Lepisosteus oculatus: one gene and its partners. The protein of the gene in region 1 interacts with the protein of each later gene in a pairwise test. Links are inferred from orthologs where the notes say so. Each region holds a gene or a part of one and is shown on either strand. Other genes may lie near its edges.

Region 1 (7,667 bases):
TAAAAGAAAAACAGTGCATGAAAATTAAGTTATAAGGGCGTTTTGCTCTCTTTCAATTAATTTTGCTGTATACCCACCCAACATGGAAATGCCAATTGTGCATTTCTCAGGTCTTGGCATAGCAACTGCACACAAGGGAGAATAAGGAGTAGCAGGCAGTTTCTTCCCTACCTTAGGATCAGAGCTGACTGCATGATCTGTTAGAGACAGCCACACAAGTCTGCATGTCCCTGGAACACCACAGGGGCTACCAAAGAACTTCCAAGAGCTCTGGGCAGCTAATCCCAACCTTACGCTTACCAGCTGTGAGTCAACTGTGCTCCATCACTTGGGAAATCCTGGTCTCAGATGGTTAATGACATCTCGATCCAAAGATACCTAGGTTTTAGAACTCAATCTGCACCTATGCAAACCCCTTTACTGGTTGAGCACCCTTAACACTGTGCTTTTGACCATTAAAGCCAATCTGGTAACGAAAACTGCCAAATATAACATTAGTGCAGCACAGAGAATGCATGAGTGTTGTTACACAAACTACTGGATGTGATAACTGATGACAGATGTTAACAGAAGCATGAGGGATGCTCTTTTACGTATTATAGTTTTGCATGCTTACACATTTATGAAGCTTTATCTTAAATAACAGCCATTTTCTAAGTGTTGCTTCCAATTCAGGGTTACAGGGGAGCCAGAGCCTATCCCAACAAGGAACGGGTGAAAAGGTAGGGTAAATTTTGGATGGCACGCCAGTCCAACACAGGCCGGACAGACAAAAAAATAGACATGTACCCATGCACGTACACCAGGACTAATATTCCTAAGTTCACCTACTAGTATGTTTTTAGATTGTGGGAGCAAACTGGAGCAACCGGAGGCAACCCACAAGAACAGGGAGTTAACATAAAAAGCCCATGTAGATATCACTCCAGGTCTGGAATAGACCCCAGGGCCCCCAGAACTGCAAGGCAGCAATGCTAACCTCTGGGCCACTATACTGTTCTATTTTAGATAACATATTTTCTAAAAACATTTAAATGATTACATGCGAACGTTTGAAAACATATTTAAAAGTTTCCGCAGGAGGACAACCAAATTGATTAAAATGTGAGGCAGAGTGGTCTCAAGACTGTTCCAATTCCAGCAGATGAGAAGATGATCAGGACACCTGGTGTCAGCGAAGTGGTGTCAGGGCTAGTGACACATTCTATGACATGCTAAAGGGCGTTGTCAAATGGCTTGCTGCTGTTCGTTTTTTAATCAGAACGTTAGTATTGCTATACTAGAGAAGGAAAAGCACTAGAGGTACTCCAAGTTCCTGGTCATCGTGCTACTAACTGGTATGATTAGCTCAGCATTGCCAATCATTAGTTTTTCACTGCAATGGGCATGGAAGCCAGAGTTCCTAGAGTAAAACCATGTGAACACAGGTAGCATTCAAAACATGCTCACATAATGTGCCCTAATACAAAATCCAACCCAGAACCTTAAGGCTAAGCCTCAGCTGTGTTAAGTGCTAACTGCAGTGCTAGGTTAGCTAAGCTAAATGCTAACTGCTACACCACCCTGCCTCCAATTTGGCAGTGCTCCTCCACAGATGCAGATGTCTGCAGGCCACCGAAACTGACCTTCACAACACTAAAGGGTGCACAAGTAGAACAAGCATTTAGCTGAAATTACATAAAAATAGCTTTTTTTAAAATAATGTGCCTATAAGACCTCACACCCGCAGAAGGCTACAGAAGCCAAAAACATTGTGTTTCCTTTCTTTCTTTTCAGCATGGAATAAACCTTTAACTTGTTCCTTTAAGACCTTTTAGAAGTGTTTTTTTGGAATTCTTACAGACGACACCTACCATCGCAAGTGGGAAAAAGCTATTACAACCTACTGTACTCTTACAGCAAAGCATTCGATATTAAAAAACCCTGAGTGAATCAAACAAGAATACGTTGGTGTTAGAATCAAAGATTTAACCCTACAGTGCTACTCCAGCTCATGAAAGCCTGTACTCACCATCGGGCTTTGCATTGTTTTGCAGACTTTCTGTGCAACAGTGAGGCAATCCGAGACCATTGGTTTTTGCCATATTTCATAACCGCTGCTTTAAGGATTTCATCCTAAAATTAAAGGAACAGGATGCATTTTTAGGCTCATTTCTTTACGAGATAATATACGTAAGACAAATTTAAGCTTGACACTACTGGCAAATGTTATACCTGATGTACAAAAACAAAAAAGAACTGTTAATATTAGCTGTTTTTTTTCTCCAAATGGTTAAACAAATTAAATGTTTTAACAAATCGGAAATGATTAAAGTAGCTAACAGAAAACTCGTGGTCAGCAGTAGATCAAACAACATTTCATCAGCATGTTTTAGTTAACTTACGTTGCTGTTATCGTACAGTACTATAACGTGGCTAGGTCTCCGCTAGAACCAACATCATCATAGTATTTTTACTATGTTTTCTCAACACAATTGCAGTTTATTGGATACCCTTACAACACACTTAATTTAAGATATAAAGAAATAAATCAAACGTTTTGGAATTACATAACATGCCACAATTCAACGAAAAGCACAAAATAGGTAAAGCTGACATAGTTGCACATCACTGAACTTAGGCCATGAATTTTGCGAGCAAAAGGTAAGTATTGGCAGTAGCTAGATGCAACTCATGAAACATGATCAAATCACAGGCAAACAGGAAAATCATTCTAATTTATGTTATCCCGATAGAAGAATAAAAATTACACATAACTACAATCTGTACTTCAATGTTTTCATTTGCCATGCCAAGCTATAAAATAAGGCCGTTACATTACCTCGGTATTTCGCCACACACCACCTTTGATCATAATACGCGGCATGTTTAAAGTTAAATGTTAATATTTCAAGCTCCTGGAAAGAAAAATAAAATAAAACAAAAATAAAAGATTCAAAGATATACTATCCACAGAACGATCGTGCTGCACAGTTTCAATATGGCTCCTCAAGATAATGCGCCTCACCATGGTAATCTCAAGAAAAGACAATAGCTACAGCTCCCCTTCTGGACTGGATGTATTAAAACAGCCTTCTAAAGTTGCAGTGTAGAGCACCCGGTAAAATTAACAGTAAATGCGCTAAGTAGTATGCATTCTCTTTTAATTCTGTTTTAATGTAGCTTCAGTTATGATAATTTGGGAGATGAAAAAGTATCCCAAGAACGTAACCTCTTAGCGTAACTGCTAGCATACACATCTCATAAAAGTGCTGAAATTAATTCAGATGATTCGAAATGATATAATTTTGCTGACATCTCATGTAGAGGAGAAATATAAAAATGTATACCTTAACGTTATTTTTGGAGATATGTGGTACAAGACGCATATTATAATATATTAGAATATGTGAGAAAATTATTTCCCGTGTATAAATTAATATTTTTACCTTTTTATAAGAGGGGAGCGTGGGTCCAGTTCCAGACATGGGGTGCCATCTGCGTGACGTTTATATGTGATTCCAGTGTTTGTGCAAGTTTCTGCTGGGTGCTCCAGTTTCCTCTCACAGTCTAAAGACACAGTGGTAGGTTAATTGACTTCTGGGAAAACTTCTGGGATGCATCACATCCAGGGTGTACTCCCACCTTGCGCCCATTGCATACCGGCATTGTCTCTGTCTCCACCGCCCCCTGAATTAGACAAAGTGATTAGAAATTCAGTGGATTGATTTTATAAACTGACATATTTCATGTGCACTTGAATCCTTTACCACAAGTAACAGAGTTTTCCAAAATACCGGAGAGAATAAAAAGCTGGAGAAAAAGGAAACAAGTCCTCTTCCAGATGAGGTTACTGTTTAGAATAAAATGTCAAATAATCCTTCTACAAGATTTATCTAAATGAAAAAGAGAAACAGAAAGGGAAAAACTATATACAGTACTAGAGTACAGTATAATGAATGCCCCTTGGAGATACAATGCTTTCTCAAAGCCTTAAGGATGAAATATTTTCTGCCATACCTCAGTGCCAGATCAATGCCCCAGCAAGTGCAAGGTGATATCTGAAATAAAGCTAACTGCTGTTGTCACCTAACAGTAAGAAATCAAGTTTTATTATAAAATAACATATTCCATTATGGTATGTCTGCCCAATTTCCATTCAGTTTGGGCTTTGGAATGTTATTTACAATTATCTGTGAGACCATGTGCATGTTTTTAACAAATCTAATTACAACACAAAGTTCAATGGTTCATCCATCACAAACAGGCAGTCAGATCCAGGGCATCTGATAATCAGATATAAGACATATAATAAGTGCTATAATATAAAATACACATAAAATAATTCCGGTGGGTAGCTGCGTCAGCATGCGTAGGCTGCAAAGGAACAAGTAATAGGTTTATTCCATGCTGAAAAAAAGAAGAAAGAGAACACAACGTTTCGGCCGTGGAGTATAAAACATATAAAATAGTTACAGTACATGTTTTAACTATTATGTTGCAAGATTATCGTGTCTTGCAGAAATATTGATCAAAACCTTCTAATATGAAATTTGATTAATTAAAAAAGTATAGGTATGTGACTTTTTATAAATGAACTTACAGTAGAATTCCTGTCATATAAAACATATAAAATAGTTACAGTACATGTTTTAACTATTATGTGCAAGATTATCGTGTCTTGCAGAAATATTGATCAAAACCTTCTAACATGAAATTTTGATTAATTAAAAAAGTATAGGTATGTGACTTTTTATAAATGAACTTACAGTAATTTGCAGTATGATCTAAGTAGTATCTGGGTGGTATGATGCACACTATACTTCTTAATGTTGGAATTCACTGAACTAAAAGCGATAAGTAACCTTCTTCTAGTCTGTGACTCTCCATCATTTTATCTCTTTGGTCTTTTTTCTCAATTGCTTATATCACTACGAGACACATGACATTAAATTCAATATCCACCTAAGGGGACTTGCAGAAACAAAGATATTTACTCCAAAGTCATGTTAAACCTCTTTGATTATGCATAGACAGAGAATATTACACCATTTTTGAGACCTATCAAATATATTTATTTTCACCTGAAAAATCTTCACATGAAAAAGCTTCAGCAACTTTAGAGTTGCAGTTGAAAAGAGGATGAATACTTAAGCAATTGAGAATCTACTGACTGTCTTCAGAATCTACATATCATCAGCATTTTTTTAGATCTCTCAGTTTGGAGCAGATTATAAATATAAACTCCAATTTGAAAGTGTCATGATTGCAAGCTCAGAAAAAGTGGGAATTTTACTGAGGGTTAATTCTTTTACAAGACACTGTATAGACAGTGGGAAAGGGAAAGACCTATATGAAGTATATATAGTGAGGTAATTGTCCTTATAATGGCAGTGTGATGGTTACTGCTGGTGCTTCACTGCTCTAGGTATCCTGTCTTTAATTCTAGGCTAGGGTGTGTTCTGTGTGGAGTTTGCATGTTCTCAACCTGTTCTTGGGTCCCTTGTTTCCACCCTCTGTGGCCTGCAGACCATTTCTATGAGAAAGAGCTTTTTTTCTCAATAACTTCTAGTACTGTGACTATCTCAATGTAGTATGGATAAGGTTCAGGTGAATTATAGTGGCAATACTTTGCATGAGTACATTACTGAAACATCCGTATATCCGTATCCGTAACATAGTATTTTAGTGTTCCACCTTTTTTCCACACATTAATATTTGCTTAACTTTAGAATGACTTTGCCTATCTAGTATGTAACCCACTGGAAAAATGAATCGAAGGACATTTACATTCCCAGACTAGGTGGCAGTAGCACGGGGAGTGAAACGCCAACCATGGTTGGCTAAGCAGCTCTTCCGCTCTGTTAGCAGCCGCGACAGGTATCGCGCCGATTCTGCGCAGACGTGAACTCTGAGGGATGTGAGGAAGTGTGAGTGTAGTTAGCTTTACTTCAATTTACTCACAGTTGTATCGATTCATATTTGATATCTTCCCCTCGCAACAACTTGGAAGAATTCTGAGCAGTTAAGGCTTGTGGTAAAAAAAATAATTTAATAAATATGCAGCATTCGTTTTATAATTTAGCATGCCCACGTGAAGTACTGTAGGGTTGTAAGACTTAGTAGCCTGAATTTAAAAGGTAGGTAGTTAAGTCGGTGTTTCTGACTCAAATGTATTTTTTTTCTGTGCAACGAATCGTGTTAAAAAAGGTTTTGAAGAAAAAATAAGTTTCTCTTGTTCATTTTGTGATTTAATGTTTACTCCATAGTTGTATTCAAATGAGTAGATCCAGTTAAAGGCGTTGAAATATTAAATACGTTAGTTTGTTTTTATCTTATCGCTACAGTATGTATATGATTTTGTAGACTACTCTGCAGTGAAAGCGAAATGAACCCGTCTTTTCTGGTGCAGGAGTGGAGAGTTATGCGTTACCCCGGTGAACAGAGATTTGTTGTTCCTCTGGATTTCCTTCGTATCTAAAAGAAACAAAAGTAAGATGGAATAGCACAACTGTGAAGCATGCTATATATTGTATTTGTTTGCGCAGGGTGATGTCATGCACCGTTTTTATGCACAAAAGCATCTCAGTGGTATGTGTCTTACCATGCTTTGTTGCTGCTGTTATTTAATCTACATCGTATACTCGATATTTCGTTCCACTGTATACTTGTATATGGCTGGTATGACAAATAAACGTGAACTTGATACTGTATGTAGAGTAAGCGAGGGACTACGGAAGAAATCATAATTATAGATTGTGTAGTTTCATTGATAATCAATTTATACAGTTAATTTAGGGTAGAGCTCAAAATAAAAAAAATAAAAAATAAAAGCTCAACATTTATTGGTATCAGTTGTGTTACTGCAGGAAACGTGTTTATACAGAGTATGTATGGTTTGAAAAATATTGCCAAAGCCTCAGCTACTCATTCACTTTTAAGTGCCTACAAACTGCAAAAGAAAGCATACAGGTACAATTCACAATCTAAACAATGCAAGTTCACAGCACCAGTGTTTCGTGAATAAATTATACAACCACATTAAAACATTGTCAGACAGCTATTTTACCATTTAACTACTAATTTGCATTAGATACATTTACAAGAATATTAATTTTTAGTTGTGCGTAGCTGTTTAGTATGTTTACAGCTAAGTTTTAAGTTTAAACAATACACCTGATGGGAGTGTTTTGTCTTTTTTTAGGAATGTAAGACAGTGGCTGGATAAGTATGAATGCCATTCCAGATATACATTTCATGAAAGTTTGGAGTGAAGATGGACAGTGAACAGAAAGGCAATGTCCAGCTCTTCACTGGTAAGTCTGTAGAAGTAAAGACCTTTTATTGAGCAGTGGGCAGTGCTTGATCACATGAAACTTACAGTGCCTTGCGAAAGTATTCGGCCCCCTTGAACTTTTCAACCTTTTGCCACATTTCAGGCTTCAAACATAAAGATATAATTTTTTTATTTTATGTGAAGAATCACCAACAAGTGGGACACAATTGTGAAGTGGAACGAAATCTATTGGATTTTTGAAACTTTTTTAACTAATAAAAAAATGAAAAGTGGGGCGTGCAAAATTATTCGGCCCCTTTACTTTCAGTGCAGCAAACTCACTCCAGAAGTTCAGCGAGGATCTCTGAATGATCCAATGTTGTCCTAAATGACTGATGGTGATAAATAGAAT
Region 2 (8,008 bases), on another chromosome or scaffold:
TTAAAGACACTGAATAGCCAATAGGATGGCAGACCAAACGTACATTAACTTACGTCATATGGCCACCTGATTCTCACAATATCTTGTCCTGTTGCAGTTCAGGGTAACAGGACGTTACCCACTGACAATGGACCTGAGCTCCTATTAGACCAGAAGGCATGATACTGGGCTATAACACTCTTAATCATTCCATACCACACACAGTCTGAGGCTAAGCCTTGACTTTAAAATGAACAGTCTGTTGATCTGTGAGCTTTGAAGTCTGCAAAACCTTCTATCATGTCTATGCAAATTGCTTAAATTCACACTTCACTTAGAAAATGAGCATGTCTGTACTATAAACTGTATTGTGCTTGCAGTTTCTGCCATAAACTTTAATCTAGTTGCACGATATACAATTATAACACAAATGTTAAGAGGTAAGAAAAATAGATTTGCAACAATTTTCACATTATTTTTTTCTTTTATAAACAAGAACTAACTGCAAAATAAGGAATCACATTTATATCCATGTTATCCATGTTCTAAGTCTTCACAGCATTGGATTGTTTTAATGAAACCTAGACTGCATGATCAGGGCAGAAAGCAGACTGGTGTCCTTGAATGTTGTGAACAGCCCACATCGTTTCCCCAAAGCAGTTTGTGTGGGAGACAATAAAACCTTGCAGCATCTTCATCATTTCATTCCTGGAATGGTTCTTACATCCTGGAGTGCCTGTATCTTCTGGTTTAGTTCCTCCCAATGCTAAGAGGCACTAGCTTCTGGCGAGTGGATGCCTTGCCTTTAATAACACCTCCATCACTTCAAGTGGTGTCCAACACCCCATCATCTGCATATATCAACTTGTCAAAATCGCGTGCCAACATTACACAAGTCCACAACTGACAAGTCATGATCAAACCATCCTGTACAGATGGAGAACTTAATATTTAATTAGGTGAATAATCTAATTAGATTTTTATACTTACAGGAAGAGAGGCAATTTACACTTAAAAGGTTTAAAAAACAAATTGGTAGCTGAAGAAATCATTGCTTTAATTTTTTTAATAAAGATTTACACAGCAGTGCTTTCAGGGTTTGGTATTCATATCTGGCAAGCTGTGACTTCAAGTGTCTTCGGGTGAAATTATTATTTATGTCAACCTTGCTGTTCTTTTACTAGACAGGAGCTGAAATAAAACTTGTAAGAGCAGGTACTGAATACCAGGACTTGGAATTTACAGTTCAGTAAGAAGAAAGCTTTCACATTTCATCTGACAATTTTTTTTCAGCTGTTTGTCCTATTTTCACCTGATTCACAATTTCTAACCCGGTTTGTGTAATACTACTTTGCAAAGAAGCTTTGCTGTCAACAGTTCATGAATTCCATGTTACCTTCATCCTTTGCTCACCCTCTAATTTTTTAAAAGACCACATTTCGGAGACTATCTCAGTATTGTTAGGAGAGAAATACTGTTCACATTTCATTTATTTGATGTACAGTAATTAATGAACGTTATCTGTTGTGTTGCACAGTACCTGTTAAAATATAAATGTAAATGTAAACTTACTTGCAAATGTAAAAGCATAATATGCAAATATAAAAATAAATAAACTGAAGAATAGTATAACTTCTCAATTTTTTCTGCTCTAACACTAATGCTGTACAAGTACCATGTCCCCACCAAAGGAATGTAAATACTGTGCATAAAGTCGCTGCACTCAGTATACAGTACATACATCATACATGTGATCAGTACATATACAACGTTTTATGTACTTTTATGATTTGTTGTTCCATTCATTAGCAGATTTCACATTAGCTACATATGATATAAAACACTTGAAGGAAGTATGACTATGGTATAACCAGGCTGCTTCTGCAGATGGGTGAAATATGTCCATTCAGTTTCACTGAGCCTGACCAGGAATGAAAACAAAACAGTGAACTGGAACCTTGCATTCAAGTGCTTCACTTTCCATTCATCACACAAAGATGACTCATTGTTTTAGAGTGAACAGTAGGAGTCTACATGCATGAACACCTTTTTTTTTGTATTACAGTCATAAACTAGAAAACTCCAAGCAAGCATTTTTGAAGCCCTCAAACCAATCCCACAACACAGGGTACCTTTAAACGAAGAGCTTGAAAGACGAAGGCAACAAGGAGATAAAAGTCTTACAGTATCTTACTGGTACTAGCTGGATTTAAAATATAAAATGTAGCATATGGAGTAAAACTGAAGTCTGAGATGAAGTGGCTCAAAACCTTTTGAGTAGTAGTGATGGGCGTGATGGGTCATGTTTCTCAACTGACCATATCAACTTTTCAAAGGAAAACTGATAAAGCTTTACTTGTTTGTGAAAAGATTCTGTCAGAATCTGACAAGATTCAAGTCAGGAGGTGCTGCAGCACATAATACTTAATGGACATAACTGTCAGGCCATCAGTTGTGATGACACAGGTAATTTTTGTCAAATGTAACAGCTGATCTGTCTCTGTATACTTCACTAATATGAAGTGGCTAGTTCAATAGGCCACCAAACACTAGCAGGTGGGAATTCTAAATCCTCATACTACTTGATAGCCTCATAAACAGCCTATCTATGTTCACACTTAAAACATGCATTAATTGGTACTGTACGTGCAACACACCATAAAATACACAAAGCTACATTCAAGCTGGTTTTAAAAGGAAAATGAATAAAAACAATAAAATCAGACACCCGAGGTACTGTAGGTAAAATGAGTGTGTTCAAACTATGAAATTCAAGTCAAGGCAGGGCAAGGTTCCGATCCCCACCTTTCTCCTGCAGGGTATGAAAAAAACACTGACTGTACCACAGGAATACAGCACACTATCATTGTGAGACACACAGGGTGTAAATCTTTTGGCATGCAGCAAAAAGCAAAAAGTCACTCAAGGCAAAGAACAGGCAACAAGTCTCCCTCTCCCATCGATTCACAAAAGTTACGAGCACAAGAAACTGAGAAACTTGGGAGCTATAAAATTGATCTTATTCCTTAATTTTTTACTATTTTCTAGGTAATAATCATATACATACAGTATACAAAACATGTGTTTTAATAAGGCCCATATTATTTGAACATATATTTTACTTTAAGAAAAATTGCTAACGCTGGACCAGTTATGGTTGACACCGTGAAATAAATGTCCCTCTTTTGTAATTCTCATCAATTTTGAATTTTGAAGATAATGCTTCTGAGAGTTTTCCAGCTACAGAGCACTAATTAAGAAGTCCAATATTTTCCCTTTAAAGAAATACCTGTGGAATGCGTTTTAATTTTCAACATGTTCAGATTTTGCCTTTATTTTAGTTCTTGATGTAATAGGGCCCATAACTAAATAACCACTCTGTGCATTGAAATAGCATGGAATCAAAATTTTTAAAAATTTAAAAAGTGTAATAATAATAATAATAATAACTGCTTACACTTATATAGTGCTTTTCTGGACACACCATTCAAAAAGCTTTACAGGTAATGGGGACTCCCCTCCGCCACCACCAATGTGCAGCCCCACCTGGATGATGCGACGGCAGCCATAGTGATGCCAGAACGCTCACCACACATCAGCGATCAGTGGAGAGGAGAGCAGAGTAATGAAGCCAATTTATAAATAGGATTATTAGGAAGCCATGACTGGTAAGGGCCAAAGGCAAATTTGGTCAGGACACCAGTTAACACCCCTATTCTTTTCAAGAAACACCCTGGGATTTTTAATGACCACTGAGAGTCAGGACCTAGGTTTTACGTCTCATCCGAAGAAGTCCCCATCACTTACTGGGGCATTAGGACCCACATGGGCCACAGAGTGAGCGCACCCTTCTGGCCCCACTAATACCGCTTCCAGCAGCAACCTTAGTTTTTCCCAGGAGCTCTCCCATCCAGGTACTGACCAGGTTCACACCTGCTTAGCTTTAGGGGGCTGCCAGCTGTGAGTTGCAGAGTGATATGGCTGCTGTGTAGGAATCCCTTGAAATTGTTTTTTGTTTTAATTATATTTTTATCGAATTTCTATTTTTTAAAACGTTCAAGAATAAAAATGCATTCCAATACTTTTTTAACCAAAGACGCAATTGTGACGTAAAACTAAATGATTTTTACAGTACATAATTCAGTTTAAAGTGATCTATAATAATGCAGCATATAAAGATACCATAAAGTACTACTGTATTTCCCTTATAAAGATTATGTGGATGGTCTTGGTAGCAATGTTTGGGTAACAACCGTATTGCATTTTGTGAGGCACAATCATGAAACAATGAACCTCTTTTTTTGATAAAGGGCACTCAAATTGTGGACCAAAAATATTTCCGGTTGGATGCTGTCATAAATCAGGTCGCTTCACTGTATTGTCAGATATTGTAATTCTTGTATTTTCTCACTCAAGGGATGGCTTGTTATCTTAACCCTAACGAACCACAGGTGCATTGAGATTAATGTTATTTTAATGACAATTTTAATTTTAATTTTAATTTTAATATTCAAGATAAGGAGAAAAGCTTTATGGAGAGTAGGAAATGTTTGCTCTTTTACTAAATCTGTATAATTATTAAAATGTTAAATAATCGATAAATACATTGCATTTAAGCTTTGATAAAATTATGTTATTTTATTTTTCTTTTTTTAATGAGAATATTTGCCCGAAACAGTTTTCAATGAGAAGTGCGTTTACTGGCAGGATAAACCAACGTCTGTTCTACACATATTTGTCCTTTCAAATCTGTAAAATACATTTTACCAATTAATAAAGCCACCAGCTACTAAAACATTAGACGTTTATCAACATTCGAAACTGAAAACCATACAAATGTAATAAATAATTACAAATATTATAATTGTGGTGAAATGTTCGAAAGAAGAAAGTAAAATCAGTTTCTGTGTAGTCTAATCTGCGCCAAACTTTTCAAATTAAAACTACAATTACCACAGAGCAGTGGTATTTGGCGCATGCGTTCCCTCAACACCGGGAAGTAGCGGCTAATTTGAAGGAAGTTACCTTCGGATAAACAGTCAAGTGTTGGGCTTGTGTTTTGGATTATTAGTGTCACGGATAAAATGTGACATTTCTGATTATATATTCACTAAATCAATATATGAATAGTACTGTACGTATAGTTTGTGATAATATCGACTTTGTACTCCATTGATCGTGAAGAATATGCAGACAACTATCCTGTTTCCCAAGGAGAAGCACAGCTGCTGGTGTCTTAACGAGTAAGAACGCAAGTTAAAAAAGAAATATTAAAAACGTATAATAGCACTTATTTACATAAACCAGTTTATATTATATTTATATTACCTTGAATTACAATTAATAAGAAGGGCATTCGAGGGGAGATAGCAAGAGGTAAATTATATTAAGATGAGGTGCGTGTTTATAATCTTAGTGTAAAACATTTTGTATGTAAGGCGAGTACCATCTTACGTAATTAATGTCAGTACTTCAGGTAGAACAAGATAATTTCTAGGTTTATTCGCGAACTACCTGCAAGGTTTCCTGGAGATAGATCATGTCGTGATATTTTGTACAACAACTTGGGTTATTAAGTGAGGCTTTGATTGTCAACTGTGGTATTGTAAGCAATCTTATTATTTGACATTTGCTTTTTTTAGGTAATCTTGTACAGCTCAGCATGGAGACACCAAACACAAGGAAAACAAAGCCTGTGTTCTGCACGCCAGACAGCACCTTGAATTCCACACCCCATGGCCTCAGTGTCAAACAGGTGCCAGACCTAGACAGACGTGTGCGGTTTTAAACTCTTCCTATGAGACTCTATGCTCCTTACACTGTCACACTGCCATGGCTGAGGTATTGGTAGAGCTGTTTCCACCAACTTTATTGTCCCAGAAACAGAATTGTGGCTACATGTCAATGTAGGTTTAAAGGCAAACCACTATTTACTTTAATTGGTGTCACTCCTTTGTGTAACATCCATTTCAATTATTCTAAAAGCTTACATAGATCAATACTGAGACAGAAAGGTCTCACATCTTACTGGTTATTATAGAGTGAGTCTGTATGTTGTGCCATTGTGATCCATTTAAATCCATTTTACCTCTGGATTTTCAGAGGTAGCTGTTTTAAATAGTCTGTTTAAATTACATTTGAACCAGCCCTCCTCAATCCTTTAATATATTGGTCAGTTTGTAGGTCTTCTTGTCAGAACGCACTGCTGAAAGACTCTTGAACAACTGGCTAAGTATTTATACAGTAGGTCCCACACTGTTGTTTATTTTGACACGTCTTGTAAATAATATTTATTCACTGCGTTCTTTTCCGAAACGATGTCTGCCTTTAATGTTTTTCAACAGCGCTGACTAACCGAATGCAACCTGAGGTTGTTTCTGTTCTGGTTTTAGCCGATGAGTGCTTCACTGAAAGAAAGACTGAAAAGAACAAGGCGCTCTTTTCATTCCCCATTTACGGTGGCAAAACGGCTTAAAATAGATCCACCCGAGGCAGAGGACGACTCGAAGGTGCAGGAAGTGTCTCCAAAGTCCGAACGTGACCTGGACAGTGCCGGCGGGAACACACTCAGCATTAATAAAGGGAGGCCTTGGGAGAGCCCGGAGGTGACCGATACTTCCAGACAGTGGGATGTGTGCAGAACCGGCACAGAGAGTGGAAACGAAGCAGCACAGAGCAGTTCCTCCAGAGAAAGAGCTGATCCTCCCGCACAGATAGATCTGCTTCAGCTGAGAGACAGGCTAAAGAAAGAAGTCGGAGAAAAGGAGGAAATGCTGCGGAGACTGAAGATGGTTAGAATGTACAGAACAAAGGTATCTCAAGCAATATGTCAGATATCCTCCGATGTACTGTGCTGTAAATTGAACAGTGAGCGGATGTACTTTCTCATTGTGTGAAGTCATGTAATTACATGACTGAAAACATGACATTAAAATATGCTATAAGACTATAACGTTTTGGCTGTGGAGCCTTCTTCAGGTGAGGGCACCCAAAGAAGGCGCCACAGCCGAAACATTGTGTTTCTTGTCTTTTCAGCATGGAATAAACCTTTACTTGTTCCTTTGCAGCTTACGCACGCTGACTCAGCTAACTACTATAACACTAGAGTATTATTGCATTTTAAATGAACTGTAATTGAGAATTGGAACTAAAAAAGAAAACTTCAGGACATTTTGTGATATTTATCTGTGCCGGTTCTGTAGTAATAACTATGCAAATTGCAAATAAAACTTGGAAAATATTTCCATGGTACTGGATTATGCAAATTGAGTACCATGGAAATATTGTCCGTTTTATTTCTTGCAGTGTGAATTAGCTGAAAATGTCTTTTTTTATGTTTAGAATGAAAAATCAATTTCAAGTGAGAGGAATTCAAGTTATGGTGACATGATAAATCTCTGTAGAAGCTGAGGAAAAACCTCAACAGATCTGGTGCATTTTCTACACTTCAGAAAATGGAAGTATTTACAGGCCATATTGTATTTTTCTTTCCAGAATGACCTGGATAAGCTACAGTTTCTAATCAACAAGTGGAGAGGCAGCAGCCAGGCAGTACTATATGAGCTAAAGTCAGCCTTCTGCACTGATGGGAGACAGCTTAGTCTCACACAGCTTATAGATCACTATGGGCTGGATGACCGCATTCTGCACTACAACAGGACAGAGGAAGAGTTCTCAGACCAATAAACTTTACAAAATGGAACAATTTTTTTCTCCTGAAATGTTCACTTAACAGTTTTCTTGTACTTTACATGAACGTTAACTCTCTTTAAAGAGTCTGGTTTCTCAATTCTGTGAAAAAAACAGATGGTTTTGAGATTGAGCCTATATTTTTCAATGTTTTGTTGACTGATTAGTTCCACTAAATCTTTAAAGACAGGACACTATATTAACGTTTATATGCTGGTCAAGTCTATTTCAGTTTGTTATAATGTAGGCAGTGTTGTTGAAATTAAATCTTGTCTTCCTTAAGTCAATATTTATTTATTTTTTTGAGAAGTTAATAAATACAGTACTTCATTGTGTACCT
Region 3 (7,169 bases), on another chromosome or scaffold:
CCACGGTGAGTCCTATTGCACATACCAAGGTTTTGCAGGAGCAGATGTCGTTTATTCATCAGTATGATTCCAGGAAGTTACAAAACCAACCTTATCAGGGAAAGGTAAGGAATTTGGCATTGTATATTTAGAAAAGCCTGGATAAGGAATTCTGTTCATAAAATGTCAATACCTTAACCAGAACCACAAGCATGACTGTAATTTTCGTTTTTTTCTTCTTTAAACCTAAATTGTTTCCAACAAGCAGTGGGTTAGTAGCTGTAGTTGGCACATCTGTCATATACAATATATGATTTAATCTAGACTTTCTTTACTATATTAATGCTACTTACTGTATATGACCTTAAGTGCATTAGAATTTGGACTTGTGAGTCACACCTCCGTGAATTTTGAAGTGTCTGATACAGACATTGCATACCTATGCTAATGGTTATTATTCTAAAATAATAATCCTTTCCTTTTTGAATCTTAACAATACGCTATTGTAGTAGTAGCACTCACACTTAAAAAGGAGTCTTCAAGGCTTGAAATGAGAGGACTGTTTTAATTGTGTCGAAGCTCGGTTCATTTCAACTGGAGAAAAAACAATTATAGTCCATTCATTTTAATTGCCAGTGTGTTGGTAGAAGCAGGGTTGCCTTGACGACGTTTGAAAACTTGAGTTTCCACATGCGTTCACATTCTTCTTTTACTCTCCATAGGAAAAGGCTGCACGTTGTTTCTTGGCCTGTGATCCTTAGCCTCGATACTTTTAGATCATTTCAGCCTCTTCTCGACTCTCTAGCTCCTGTACCTGTGATCAAACCATAGCAGATGTTGTAGGTCTCCTCACATCATCACAAAACCTCTGGATTAGGAATAGATTATCTAAATTAAGACTGAATCTGACCAATTTAACTCTTCTTCACCAATGATTTAAGGAGATTTGGGGAAACCTGCTCTATGGTTAAACTCCTTGAGCCTACTTGGCTTCTTTTACAGTAGTTCAGGTGGGGAGCTGTGTCAGCATGCATAGTCTGCAAAGGAACAAGTAATAGGTTTATTCCCTGCTGAAAAGAGAAGAAAGAAAACACAACGTTTTCGGCCTTCCCAAAGAAGGCTCCACAGCCAAAACGTTGTCTTTTCTTTCTTCTCTTTTCAGAATGGAATAAACCTATTACTTGTTCTTTTAAATGTATCTGTTTCCATTGCATACTGACATCACACTGTCAATTATTGCAAACCATCATTGAGAACTGGACCAAATCAAATGCTCAGCTCACCTGCCAGTCACAAGGTACAGACCCATTGCTTGAAAGAGGATTTTCCTCAGTGAACATGAAAGAAGCCTCATGCAAAGAAAATTGATTTTCCAAGTAGTGGATGTGTACTTGGAGTAGTACAGAGGCATGCCTTTTCCTTGGGCAATTGATTCATGACAATGGTTTTCTTTTTTAATTTTGCTTTCTGGTTTTTATATTTGCTCATCTGGCAGTGGTTTCATTTGTCAAAGAATGGTTCTAAAAAAAGTATACTACATGTAAATTATTATTTTATTGCAGGTGAAAGAGTAAACCTGGTTTCTATTATAATGAAACTTCTCTGGGAGATGACCTTTACCTTCATGTTTGCGATATTCATACCCCATTTCCGATGAGCTAAAGAGGTATCTCAGATGTTGCAGCATCATGTTGTGATCTTGACTCATGGTATTTTAGATTTCCTTAAGACAACATCCAGCCGTTTCTGATTCATATAGAAAAATCGATTATAATTCAGTTTTCAGAGCTCGAGTGGTTCGGTTTTAAAAAACAAAAACGAATAAAAAGTCTGTATCCATAGAAACCTTATGTGCGGGGGATGAAATGGAATGGGACTCCAGCACAAATGCAATGGAAGGCAGATGCATTCGTGTGATAAATGTTGAAGGGCCTTAAAGTGCAGGAAAGTCCCTCCTCCCCTCTCTTTTTGCGTTTGGTTTACTGCCTCTGTTCAGGTTTTCCTCCCATACATCCATTCCATGAATAGCGTGGCGTGACAGAATAGCCATTATTCGCTGCTGCCCCCACAACTACCCACCCTCTCTCAGGCTTACCGCCAGTGGAGTGGGAGAGGGACGCAAGTGGAAACCTGCCAGCCCTTGAACTCAGAAATGAACTCAGGCACAGCTGCGCGGCTCAGGCCCGCTCACTCTTCCCTGGTTAACTTCAAGCTTGTTTCCCTTTCCAGCGCCACGGAGCCTTTGTGTGGACAGAGATAAAGCCGGCGAGCAAGCCGAGGGCTCCCGGCGGAGCAGACGCATTCCTGACTGCTGAGAGGTCGCGCTGTGTACCGGCGCAGCAGAAGGCCCAGGGAGGAAGCCGGATGACCTCACCAGAGCTGGTCTCGCAGCATCCTCGGCAGATGTCGGACGCTGGAGCTGGCTTCTCTAAAGGGGGCCTGGAAGAGGCCACCCGGGCCTATCCCAGAATTCCAGCCCGAGAGAAAACGAGGCAAGGCGTTCCGCAGACAGCTGGACTGGACAGCGTTCCTTCCAAAAAGGAGGCGGTTCCCTCTCAGGGAACTCCAGCTGCTCCTCGAGAGAAATTCCAGGACCGGACCGACAGCACATATACCAACTTTAGTGCTGTACCCAAAGCTGCTGCAGTAATCAAGCAGCCTTTAGCTGATGCACAAGTGGGCCTGCTTGATCCAAGCGCTGACAATAACCCCAGACACCAGCTGACACCAGTAGGGAGTTAGCTTGAACAGTGGAAGCATTTTGATGGCAGCAGCTGCACTCCCCTTTGATCTGACATATTAGATTGTATCGATCTGGCTGCTGTATTAGGCTGCATTATTCTGTCCTTGATTGTTTTCCTAACATCTGTGTGCTTATTAAAATGTTAGTGCATGTACATTCAGCATCTTAAGAGAAGGGTTAAAGTTGTTCCTGTAAACAGTTGTGTAATGTACTGTAATGCAGAAAATCTTGTTTTAAATCAGGAAAGCATCTATCTTATGCATTAGGATGGAAAACCTCACATTTTGTTATGTGCATGGCTTATTCCAGAAAGCATGCATAGTAGCAGTTGGAAACAGTTTGTTGATTTTGGATTTTTTTTTGCTTCTTTCTCAGTATGGTTTTTCTGCTATTTGGTTTGCAGTAATTAGATTTGCTTTACAGCAGATGGTCTGTGGCTCTGCTCTGGCCCTGGAAGTACTCCTGCACTTGTATGCTGCTGTTGACAATGTTTTGAATCGGCTTCAGCACTGTCAACCAGAGTAGCTGGAACAATAACCATGCGGGCTGGGCAGGGCAGCAGCTAAGTTAAGTACAGAGGAAGTACACATGAGATGACTTCAAGGGGGCTTCTTGTAACCATGGAAACCGAGCCATGCTGAGATAACCAACTGTGTGGCTGCATGGATTAAAACTGTTATTTTTAATTTTCCAAAGAAATCTTGTGAAGTGGAAAACAGATGATTTTAGGTACAACAAGAATTGAACAGTATGCAAGATAAGGAAAGACATCATGTTGGGCAAGATATCAGCTTATAAAACAAGACTGGTGATTGCAGAAGGAGAAGTAGCAAGTGAGTCAAGGTTATGAGCATACTTCATGCATCATAACTTCAGAGTCGTGTGTGGCAATACAAGATTATATTCTAGCTGTAAAATCATCTGTCCTCTCATCTGGCCACCTGGTTTTTTTTTTATAACAATCTGATATTGCACAGTCATTTTCTGAATCCGAATAAAAGCCATACCTTCACCGTGTGGCGTGTGTGTAACATGATCAAATATGCCATTGACCTGCGCCAGGTAGCGACCTGAAGAGACTGAATGTAACCTCGTCGACTGTTCTGCTGCTCAGGAAGATGTTTACCAGCTTGAGGAGAGCTGGAGCCAGGAACCAGGCGAATCACTTCTCTTAGCGATGTTATTATTAACTATCCTGAAAAATTGCCACGTTTATATAGATATGTGTAGCAGCAGTCAAGGCCCGTTGCCTGGAAACGACATTGACTTGTAATCAGACACAATCTGCTTCTGCACCTCCATCCCATACTCTGTTTCCCTGCTCCTCACTGCTCATGTAACTAACTGGCTTGCGCGAAAGCGGGGACTGATTTTTTTTTCTTGGTTCGAGCGTGAGCGCTAGTGTGCTGTTATCTCTCCGCCCCTCTGTGAATCAGTGCAGCAGTTGGCTTTTGCTGGTGTAGCAGAGGAGGCAGTGCGGATTCCTGTAGTCACTCCCTGCGATTCACATCCAGCCTCCCTGCTTGCGTTTGCGCGTATCGTGGGCTTTTCTAGGTGCTGGACATTATCGTGTGTTCCTTGGTGGGTAAGTATCGCTCGCCGCTTTTATGGTAAATAAAAAAGGTTTGCGCATTGGTCGGCTCTCCGCTGGTGGGGTTGGAAACAATGCAGACCCACACCTTCGTTAAGAACAGACCGACTGCCGTAAACATTGCTACTGCTGAGTTAAAAATGGCTTTACTGTATGATGCTGTTAGTTACGCAGGAACAAACGGGAGACTTCGAAGGGAGCGCAGCTTTCCGTTTATCGATTGAAAAATCGCACAAATGTGCGAACTTGCACGGATTCTTTGCCGCAGAAAATAGGATACAGCGCCAGGTCCGAGCTTGCAGTTTCGAATTTCGTGTTTTTTCCCCTCTTTCCCCTTTGGGTTTTCCAGAAAATGAAGTCGCTTTATTTCTCAAGCGCGAGAGACGCGTAACGGCGGTGCACCGGCGTGCTCATTTTCGTCCGATTTTGCGGTGTTTGCGGTGTTATTTTGACGTTTTTGTAGGCACGCAGGATCAGCCGACACCACGGCAACATGGACGTTTTCCTACCAGGTTGGGATTATAACGGTACAGTATAGTAAGGATGGAAACAGGCGTGGTCGTGCGGATCTGATTGCTGAGCTAGGAGGCACCGTGTGTGTCGCGGTTAAGCAGCTTGCTTCGGTAATTCAGTAGGTAACAGCTATTTTGTGACGATATTTGGAAATGCGTGGGTTCCCCACGATTCCTCGCCGTATTTTGAGGTGAAATAATTCGACTTCGAGTGTTTGTTGAGTCAGTTGTCGTAATACGATTAGTTTTCAGAAGAACTGCAGCCCCTTTTCGAGCTCTGCCAGGTTGTGTTGGTGCCTCGCACACGCACAGGTGTGTTTTCCAGTGTGCAGGATGCTGGCGCGGCGTTCGCGTTCTGCGGTGTTTTTTTCCTGCGAGGTACAGCTCGCAGTGCGCTTTAAAATATTAATGTAGCAACGCGCGGCGTTAGATCGGGAGGGTTGCCTTCGAAGGTGCATTGAAACTATCGGATCAGGTCTGAGTGAGCGAGGCTGAAGAGCACCCTGCGACCTAAATTAGTCACCTTCGTAGGTAAGCACTTTCCACAGGTTGCTCGTTCTCCCCGGGGACTCTGAAACACCCCGCCCATCTGGGTCAACATTTCTTGCAGAGCGCTGTGCTGGTATAACGTATTCTCGGATAAAAACCCAGTTCCTTCTGGGTTTGAATTCGGAGGCGTTGCTGCTGCTGCGTGATGCCGTATTTATGGTTTTTTTTTTCTTCCCCGGCAGTGCAGGAGGAGGTGTGCTGAGTAAAACGTTGCAATACTGCAGCTCCAATGCGGTCAGATGGAGTCCAGCCTGCGGCTCCTGAGCCTTTATCTGACGCTACGGGCAGCACTGGGGTGGGGTTATACGCGAGCTACGTTAGGGTGCAGATGCGTGGGATTTTTGGTGGGGAAAAAAGGCAAGAACTCGTCAGCGATCAACGAAATATATAACCGCGCACATAAATTTCTGTTGAAAAACACGGGCTTTGGCCTCATTGAGATTGAAAAGAGCAGTAACACTGACCTGCTCTCGGCCGGTTCGAAGGGCAGCTGTGAACCGGGGTATATCGATGGGAGTGCCGTGTCAGCGTGGAAGCGTTTGCTTTTTATACTGCTTCATAAAATGTATATCTCACCCAAACTCACTAGCGCAGTTGAGGCCTCGGGAATGGCGTGTTGTGCTGGATAGGAAGGGGAAACGTTAAAAGACTGCATGAATGTAGCTGCACCTGTTTCTTTGTGACATGACTGTGCCAGCAGTTTGCCGGTCCCCGAGTGGAACGTGGAACTGACCTTCAGGATTTCGCGACTCTGTACCCGCCGCGGTCAGCACGCTGCACATAGTCGTTGTTAGGAGAAAAACAAATCAATTCTTCAAAATGGAGATGCAGGAGCAGCAGGGCTCAACGTCGGCCGGAGAGGAAAGGCTTGTTTTAAAGTGTCTCGCAGGTGGTGTGCTTGTCCGACGTGCGAGGTCTGAGATGAGTGAATGGGAGTCCTCTGTGTCAGGTTCTTCAACTAGGCACTAGAGAGGTTTGCAAAGCGTGTTGTCAGCCGAAGCTACTCTGAGCTTTTTCCTTGGGCACCTAGACACACGACTAGCTGGAGATGCACGAGTGTTGAACCCCTCAAAGGGGTATTTCCGAAACCTTGCAAGGGTCAGTTCATTTCCACTTGGGTGACTTGCAGTTTGAATGTCAACTCTGATGTTCTGGGACACCCACCCAGCCGTCCACCTACAGCAGAAGGGAGTTTTGTTTCTGCCTGCATGTCGCCTTTATAATAGTTGTGTCCAAGGTCTATTGCATTATACTGTACATATTAATGCTGTTTATAAAAGGATTGACACACATTGAAACAAATATGTACAGTTTGTGCACCAGCTGTAAGACTGTGGGAAGCTGACTAGGCTCAATTTTTGGACAGGCTTTAAAAAGGAATTTACAGAATAAAAATCATTTGATCCATGTTGACAAAGTAACAAGAATGGAGGATAATTATGTCTAAAGTTTTTGATGGATGTAAACATGTTTTACATACATTTATTGTGGAAGCACGAAAGACTATAGTAAGTCTTGGACCTTGTTTTTCAAAGAGAAAGACCTATTGTCATTCGATTCAGCGTGAACACTTGGTATTTTTACACTTTTCTCCCTGCCTGTAAACATACTGTATTGACCAGCCTTGTTCATCAACAGTATGTGTTGATATATGTAGGTCAGGAGTGAACCATGAAAAACCTTTTCAGCTGAGACTCTCTCATTTAAAATAGGGGGCAGATTCAGCTGCTGTTAGGTTTAACACTGATGTTGTACATCTGGGATAATTAGAAGTAAAACCTCAGGGTCTCCAAAC
Region 4 (6,995 bases), on another chromosome or scaffold:
AGACGCATACGGAGCTTGTTAAATCTGGCAAAGAAAGCTTTGATTAAACATTTTCCCAGAGACACAGTGTAAAACTGGCTTAAAAAAAAAACAAAACGCCATTTCCTACCAGCTGTTACTACCCGTCCGCCACTGCAAGACTTACAGGCAAGGAAGGAAAAGCAGTCGCTGTTTAATTTCATTAGTAATGTTCATTAAGACCTGTATGTCAGCTACAAAACACAAACTTGAGCACGGAGCAGCTGTCACTAAAAACTATGAATTCAATAACATGAAAATCCTCACTTTAAAAAGATGTCTTTTTTTTTCGCCGTTTTCCTTGCACCAAAGACCAGCAGATCTATAAAATATTCACGGAGCTAAAACCCGCACTAGAAACATTTGAATAAAACGCGTTCGGACACAAGAGTGACAGATTCACAGTTTAGTTGTCTTAATGCAGCGCTAACTCCACTGTGTTCTTTCTTCAGCTCCATTGCTGGAGATGGTAATTAAGCAATTACAACGCCCCAAAGACACCATATCATAAGAGTACAGCCAGCACTCCTCTTAAAAAGAGAGCTCATCCCACCGACAGCTCCAAATGAAAGAATATTTCATGCTTCTGTGGGCAGATGTAAAACAAATGTGAGAACTCTGAAAGGTACACATATTACAGAAAAGAGAAGGACGGTATAGCAGAATTGGTTAGAAAAGAAAGAGCAGTTAAAGAAATGCCCAGTTACTCCAACAATGTAATGATTAATTCAAAGCACAAAGCGTTGACTGACACTGGTCAGTATGAATTGACAACACACTGCAAGCAGCATTCTTTCCTGTTCTTATCAATTACATGAACTGGATGACAAAAGCAATAAAAAGGCTCACAACCCTAGCAAGCATAAAAACAACGACCTCTCTAGCATGTACGCGTAATCCAGTCTGCTTGCATACTTTTGTTGGCGTCTGTCCGTTAACAAAGAGCAGAAAAACGGCTTGAGTTGACAGACACTGATAGCATCAGTACAGTAATTAAGCGCGGCTGCAAGATTAATTCCGCTAAATCAAATGTAGTACTATTGAGGACCATTACGGTGCAAAAACGGAGCTTCTGTAGAAGGGCTAATGACATGGAATTAAAAATGATTCCCTTTATCTCATCAAGATCGTAGGGTTAGTGTTAAGGGCCTACTGTTATAATAAAAAAAAGACTTTGTTTTATTCTCGTTTATTAGGAATAGATCGACTCAAACGTGGCGATACATCCTAGTCCATGACAACATTTGGCCGATAAGACCGACTCTGCTCCGCGGCCACGGCGCACTGACTGCGCCCGGAGACAGCGAAGCTCCGCGCCGGGGAGATGCTGTTCGGGCACAGGGAGGCTGAAAGACTCTTGACGGGGCAACACAGACCCGCCACCAGTCAGTTGTCAGCCACATTACAGCCCCGCAAGGCACAAACCTGAGCCCACACGGGCAACAGGATACACACGCCACCGCCAATCCATACAGTGCGTCCACGTCTTCAGAGCAGGTCAGCGCAACACAACGACGCAAAAAAAAAAAACACACCACCAAACTCGGGAATATATATATATATTGCATCCGCGTACCTGAATTCTAGGGTCGACTTCTTCTTCTTCTGCTGCTGCTTCCTCCTCTTCTTCTTCTTCATCCGGCGACTCAATCTCTTCGTCTGATTTGGGTCCCTTTTCCACGCTGTCCATTTTGCTGAATGCAGTAATGTCTTTTCCCTTTCCCCAGGTCGGAAACTGGGGAGGCTGAGGTCGTTCTCCAAGCGCCGCCGCGACCACTCTGGTTCCCTCCACACCACTTCAGCAATAAGGCATATGGGGAAAAGATATCTTTAAACACAAACGCAAGGAGTTAAGGATTAGCTGAGGTCTGCAACATTCAAAACCCTCAAGGAAGCTGAAACACAGGAGGTGCCCCTTTCTCCGGACAAACTGGCTTGAAATAAGAACCTGAGCGCTCCGCCTATCCCCGCCCCCCTTTCCAGATTTTGCTAGGCAATCCCCGAGATGGACGTACAGAAATATTGTAATTTTCCTGCCGGGCTCTTATTTGGCTCCGCGAATCGAAGGGAACGGCGCACGACGCAGGAAGCAAGCCGCCGTCCTCCGTGTCATCTGCGGCCCCGCACGGTGTGGCGACGCCCGCTGCGCTCCGACTTGATCCAGAAGGCTTCCCCTCTCGTCTCCGGATCCTTCTGCCGGCCCCCCCCTCCCTCCAAGCACACAAAAGCGATGGCGATGAAATCGGAAAAAAACGATTAACCCTTTCGACCGGGCCGGCCGCCTATTGTAATTAATGGATGTCCTCCCTGTTTTGCTATGCTGTTAATAATCGGATCGCGCACTCCTCTCCGTTTACATCTCAGCGCAAATCACATGGCAATAAACTGCTATATTAAGCACGCAGAGGTCCCAACTAATCCTGCAGTACCTGTCTTCCGCTCTCTTGAGTTATAGTACACACTGCAGTAATTACAGCAGTCATGTCCTGTAATCTCACTGACAGGGGGGTTACTAAACCCCACGGATAGGAGAGAGTTGAAGCCGACGTTCCCCAAGTTTTCTCCAGAGGAAAAGAGTGGTCTGTCTCTCCCTAGCGGTCGGTAGACGGAGCACATCTGAAACCTAAATTAAGCAATGACGGAAGGGCTTTATTGTGAACTGGCGTTGCGCAATTGCTCTGTAATGCTGTTGGTCTTATACTGTACACCGGTATAGGAAAAAATGAAAAGCTGAGTATAGAAAAGAAGAGTGTATAAAACAGCAGCCTCCTCCTGATTGCTGTTATTGCTCTATTCAGTTTGTTTTATTTTGGTCTCGTATCTCTGGTGTGTAGCAAACATAATGATATAAATTACCTGAAGAAGGCTTCTCAGCCGAAACGTTGTGTTTTCTCTCTTCCCTTTTCAGCATGGAATAAACCTGTTACTTGTTCCTTGGCAGACTACGCACGCTGACGCAGCTCCCCATCTGAACTGATCATATAAATGACTCCCTGAACTCTGAATTCAATACTGTTAAGTCATGACGTTCAACATACTGGATGGGAGAGTTTGTTTACAATCTCTGGTGCTGTCCTGAAGAGGTTCCGGTCATACCCTGCCTCTTGTTACACGGTGATCTTCTTGTTTCTCTTGGGTTTACTTCTGAGGCTGTTAGGTCTGGCGCTTCACAGGGTTCAACACCAGGCGCTCTGCTATTTCAGTACTTATTCGGTATTATTTGCTATTCAGTATTAACCTGTACATTACAGTTTCTCCTTGGTGCAATACTAAAATTACGTTGTCAGAATTGCATTTCTATGAAGATGACAGTCAAATTAATGTCCACATTAAAGCCAAAATAGTTGTTTCAGCACTCTACTCATTTCTGGTGCCAATTTGCTGTTACAACTGCCATATTGCTCTCTCTTATCTACTAACCCCACTGTTACACACTCTCCTATCTACTAACCCCACGGTTACACACTCTCCTATCACTAACACCACTCTTATATGGCACAATATTCACACGTAATTCTGTATCTCTACCGTTCTGTGTTGTCAAGAGCGGTTCTGAAATAGGAGGCACACCAGGCCACATCATTAAAGACCCCTCTGGGAGCATTTGACCCACAGATCCTAGAGATAGGGGTAGGATTGTGATGAAAAAGTATGAAGTTTAAGCAGCTGTGGATAGCCGTAGAGAGCTTTTATCAGGCAAAAACAGAGAACTTTGGAAACCTGAAAAAGTCTGATCCGAATAGGTGGTTTTATTAAAATTGTGGGAGTACTGGTTAGAGCCCCTGGTTTGTAATTAGGAATTACATCCAGGAATTAAATCAAATCCCAGATGATGCACTGCTGTAATACAGTACAAAATACAATTTTTCAATTTTCCTCCAGGGCCACTGTGCTGTCAATTTATACCAAACATCTCTTCCTCTTAATAAGGCTCTTTTTGTTGTTGGGATTATTTGGTAACCAAGGAAACAATAATGGGCGTAATGTGTTCTTCATCCAAGGACAGGCAAAATGTTTTTTTATTTGGTGAGCTCTTAGATCAGTTACAAAAGCTGGGTACAGATTTCTGTGAATAGTGCTGGAATCCGCCACTGTCTACGCAGAAAACCCATGACCTCAGATTAATGTGTCATGATCATGGAGGCAACGCCTTCTCCCTGCAGCTGTGCCGTGAGCTTCTGGCGCAGAGAGACCTGCTTTAGTCAGCAGCTCCCTTGTTCACCACGAACTTCAAGCCCTGCTTGCACTGAGTGGTCCTGCTGCACACTTGGCTGGACCACACTTTTCTCCCCGACTAGACCCCAGACTTTCAGCTCAGCTCACACAGCCCGCAGCTACAACCTCTTTACCTGAGACGACAAATCTGAGGGCAGGACAAGGGCCAGACTGAAAGTTTGTGTACCTCTGCTGAAGGTCCCTAAAGTGGCAGCAAAGCAATTTGATTTGATGTCATACTGGACTTGTTCTCCAACAAATCCCGATACAACAGGATGTAAAGCATTCCAACTCCCCACCTCTTCCTTCCCTACTTTCCTACACGATCTACTGTACTTCCGGCATAAACGTACTTCAGTCTCCACCACAAGCTCACGTTCGATTTTCTGGTTGAATCTGTGAGCTGGATCAATTACTGTACACATCCGAAAACGGTCCATTCCCAATCACTTCCTATCCCTACAAAAAGTTCACCAATAATTTGCTTGTGTATGTAACAGAGTGTGTTGATTCTTGTGCCAACGGTAGGTAGGCAATTTCCATATTTGAGCTGCAGGGGCGCATCAGGGCGGAGCTCATCCTGGTTTCTGGAGGGTTAAGCAGAGTAGAGCAAGAGCAAGTGACATCCCCCAGGACGGGAGAGAAAATCAGGGATTACTCCCAGCAGTGCCAGTCCCCCATTTACACAGCTGGGCGGGCTGGAGCCACTGGGGTACAGTGCCTCTCTCAGGGGTACAGCAGCACTGTCTGCATGAGTACTGGCACTTACCCACTGGGCTTCCCACTCAGAGTCCAAGACAGCCATTCAAAATGAAGACTGAAACTGACAGGTTGTGTGGGGCTTCATTTCAACTTTAGACCATGGAAATGATTTTCTAAACTGGACTCATACAGTCAACCAGGCAACTAAAAACACATGTTTCAGCGTCTCCTGCCGCCTGGGAGTAATATGCCCTGCTCCTTCTCTCAGCTTTCATACTCCCGTCCTGTAATGCACATCCTCTAAAGGAATATCGAACTGGCCTTGCATCCGAAACCTGTCTGAACAGGAAGGACATAATCGAGGATGTGACATTTCACTGCGAGCAAGAGGCACCAGTGGTGCCAGACAGGACGACAGGACTAGACGCGTCCCAAAAAAAGCCCTATCCCGGGCTCTGGAGGCATGACAGCCAGACCACGAGTTACTGGGAAGGAAAACGCACATCACAAACACCACAGCTCGGGCACACAGAATTCCTTGTGGATATCACCAGGAAGGAAAAAGGTGTGTGCTGAGATTTAGAGTTCAAGGATGAGAATATATAAAGTACCTTTCTGCCTGGACAAAGATGACCCACACCTTGCCTTGTTTTCTGCAGATACTTGTAGCACATCAAATAACCTAAAAAATGCTAAAAACATCATTGAACATCAAAATTCGATATCGACAGAGCAGAGTTTGCTGGAGCAATCTGGACTCTAGGGATCTGAACCCCTGTCCCAGCCGTCAGGAGAACACAGTTCTAACCATTACTCCACACTGCATTCTTTTACAGCATCTGTGGAAACACCTTAGCCCTGTAATCTTCCAGACTGGCTCAACAGTGTGCTGGAAGATCCGTGAGATGTTTAATCCTCTTATCCTTGCTTTTTTTTTTATTTAACAAAAACAGTACAGTGGAAACACGATACACATGTTTCATTACAGGTCTTTGCATACACATCAAAAGATAATTTAAATAGAGAATTCTTCTTTCCGAGATAAAATCACTTGAGCTGTGAAAACCTTAAGGCTCCCTTCCACAAGCAGGTAAAGTGTTGTATTTAAAATGGACATGAAATCCTATGCTGGTCAGAAGAATGAGATCGGTTAGAATTCTGCCAAGAAATTCACAAATAAAATCCCTCCTGGGTTTTTTCAGATACAAAGTCTTTTCTTTCCGAGTAGCAGCATCACCATCAGGCTGTTTGTCAGAGTGGCTTCTTGAATTTGCCTTGAAGAAAAACTCTTGGGACACAAAGCCCCTCTCTCTTGTTGACAGTTTCTCTGAGGACGTACTCGTTCACCAGGGTCTCGTAACCCACCGCTGTAAACAGATCCTCCAGGAACTCTAGACAGAAAAGTACAAGGAACAAAATAAAAGGCAGGTTTTACACACTATAAAACATCACATATAGAGAAAGCCTTTCATTCTTTCTATTTTTATATAACTATGTATGTAGTAGTTATAGCTATACAGTACAGCAAATTTGTTTTGTGTTTATGTCTTTTTTGTATAAATCCTATCTTGCCCCTGCTTAGGCTTGGCTACTAAAATGTGTTTTAATTTTTTTTAGAGAACCTGAAGTTGAAAGGGTGACAGAACAGCATCGATGGCTTGAGAATGTCTGCTACTCACCTTTAGAAAAGAAGAACGATCTGGTACCATCTTGCCTCACATAGAAGTTCTCTCCAAGCTTGCTCCCGGATTTAAACCTCAACATGGCGTGATCGTGCAGTCCGTAGTCCCTGAACAAGACAGTGCCCCCTGGTTTCAAGACCTGCCCACCCCGATGAAGAAAAACAAAACAAAATATCATATTGTCTTACAGCGTGGAACTTTGACATTATAGAGGACTTTGTGTTGATGAGTGGCAAAAAGTCTTAGTTAAATACATCATGGTTCCATGCTGTAACACAATAAAACGTAAAAAAGTCCAAGGGGGGTGAATACTTTTGCAAGGCACTGTATATGGAGAAGATTTAATGGAGAAAGATTCTAGCTTGAGCCATTTAAACC

What was found.
Region 2: the proteins of cdc5l (region 1) and sfr1 interact in a two-hybrid assay, tested with the Homo sapiens proteins (2 studies listed by BioGRID and IntAct). The link is inferred for Lepisosteus oculatus from reciprocal best matches to the Homo sapiens genes CDC5L and SFR1.
Region 3: the proteins of cdc5l (region 1) and sptbn1 interact in binary tests that used the Homo sapiens proteins (3 or more experiments, as listed by UniProt). The link is inferred for Lepisosteus oculatus from reciprocal best matches to the Homo sapiens genes CDC5L and SPTBN1.
Region 4: the proteins of cdc5l (region 1) and sh3bp5a interact in a two-hybrid assay, tested with the Homo sapiens proteins (2 studies listed by BioGRID and IntAct). The link is inferred for Lepisosteus oculatus from reciprocal best matches to the Homo sapiens genes CDC5L and SH3BP5.

What each region holds. Positions count from the first base shown.
Region 1 is NC_090697.1:56,000,836-56,008,502, reverse strand, and holds the start of cdc5l (cell division cycle 5-like protein), read right to left. Parts: upstream 3,002-7,667; 5' UTR 2,867-3,001; coding exon 2,822-2,866; intron 2,116-2,821; coding exon 2,012-2,115; intron 1-2,011. Other genes in the region: zinc finger protein 260-like, read left to right, coding at 7,256-7,295.
Region 2 is NC_090699.1:36,349,627-36,357,634, reverse strand, and holds sfr1 (swi5-dependent recombination DNA repair protein 1 homolog), read left to right. Parts: upstream 1-4,990; 5' UTR 4,991-5,222; intron 5,223-5,621; 5' UTR 5,622-5,641; coding exon 5,642-5,734; intron 5,735-5,741; exon of another isoform or gene 5,742-5,811; coding exon of another isoform or gene 5,812-5,820; intron 5,821-6,371; coding exon 6,372-6,791; intron 6,792-7,473; coding exon 7,474-7,665; 3' UTR 7,666-7,684; downstream 7,685-8,008. UniProt on the Homo sapiens protein: Component of the SWI5-SFR1 complex, a complex required for double-strand break repair via homologous recombination. Acts as a transcriptional modulator for ESR1.
Region 3 is NC_090712.1:3,063,302-3,070,470, forward strand, and holds the start of sptbn1 (spectrin beta chain, non-erythrocytic 1), read left to right. Parts: upstream 1-4,154; 5' UTR 4,155-4,307; intron 4,308-4,885; exon of another isoform or gene 4,886-4,944; intron 4,945-7,169. Other genes in the region: uncharacterized protein C2orf73, read left to right, coding at 1-104, 2,209-2,721. UniProt on the Homo sapiens protein: Fodrin, which seems to be involved in secretion, interacts with calmodulin in a calcium-dependent manner and is thus candidate for the calcium-dependent movement of the cytoskeleton at the membrane.
Region 4 is NC_090705.1:41,678,570-41,685,564, reverse strand, and holds the start of sh3bp5a (SH3 domain-binding protein 5), read right to left. Parts: upstream 3,008-6,995; 5' UTR 2,875-3,007; intron 2,600-2,874; exon of another isoform or gene 2,448-2,599; intron 2,438-2,447; exon of another isoform or gene 2,034-2,437; intron 1,847-2,033; exon of another isoform or gene 1,815-1,846; 5' UTR 1,709-1,814; coding exon 1,595-1,708; intron 1-1,594. Other genes in the region: tRNA N(3)-methylcytidine methyltransferase METTL6, read right to left, coding at 6,187-6,326, 6,615-6,756. UniProt on the Homo sapiens protein: Functions as a guanine nucleotide exchange factor (GEF) with specificity for RAB11A and RAB25. Inhibits the auto- and transphosphorylation activity of BTK. Plays a negative regulatory role in BTK-related cytoplasmic signaling in B-cells.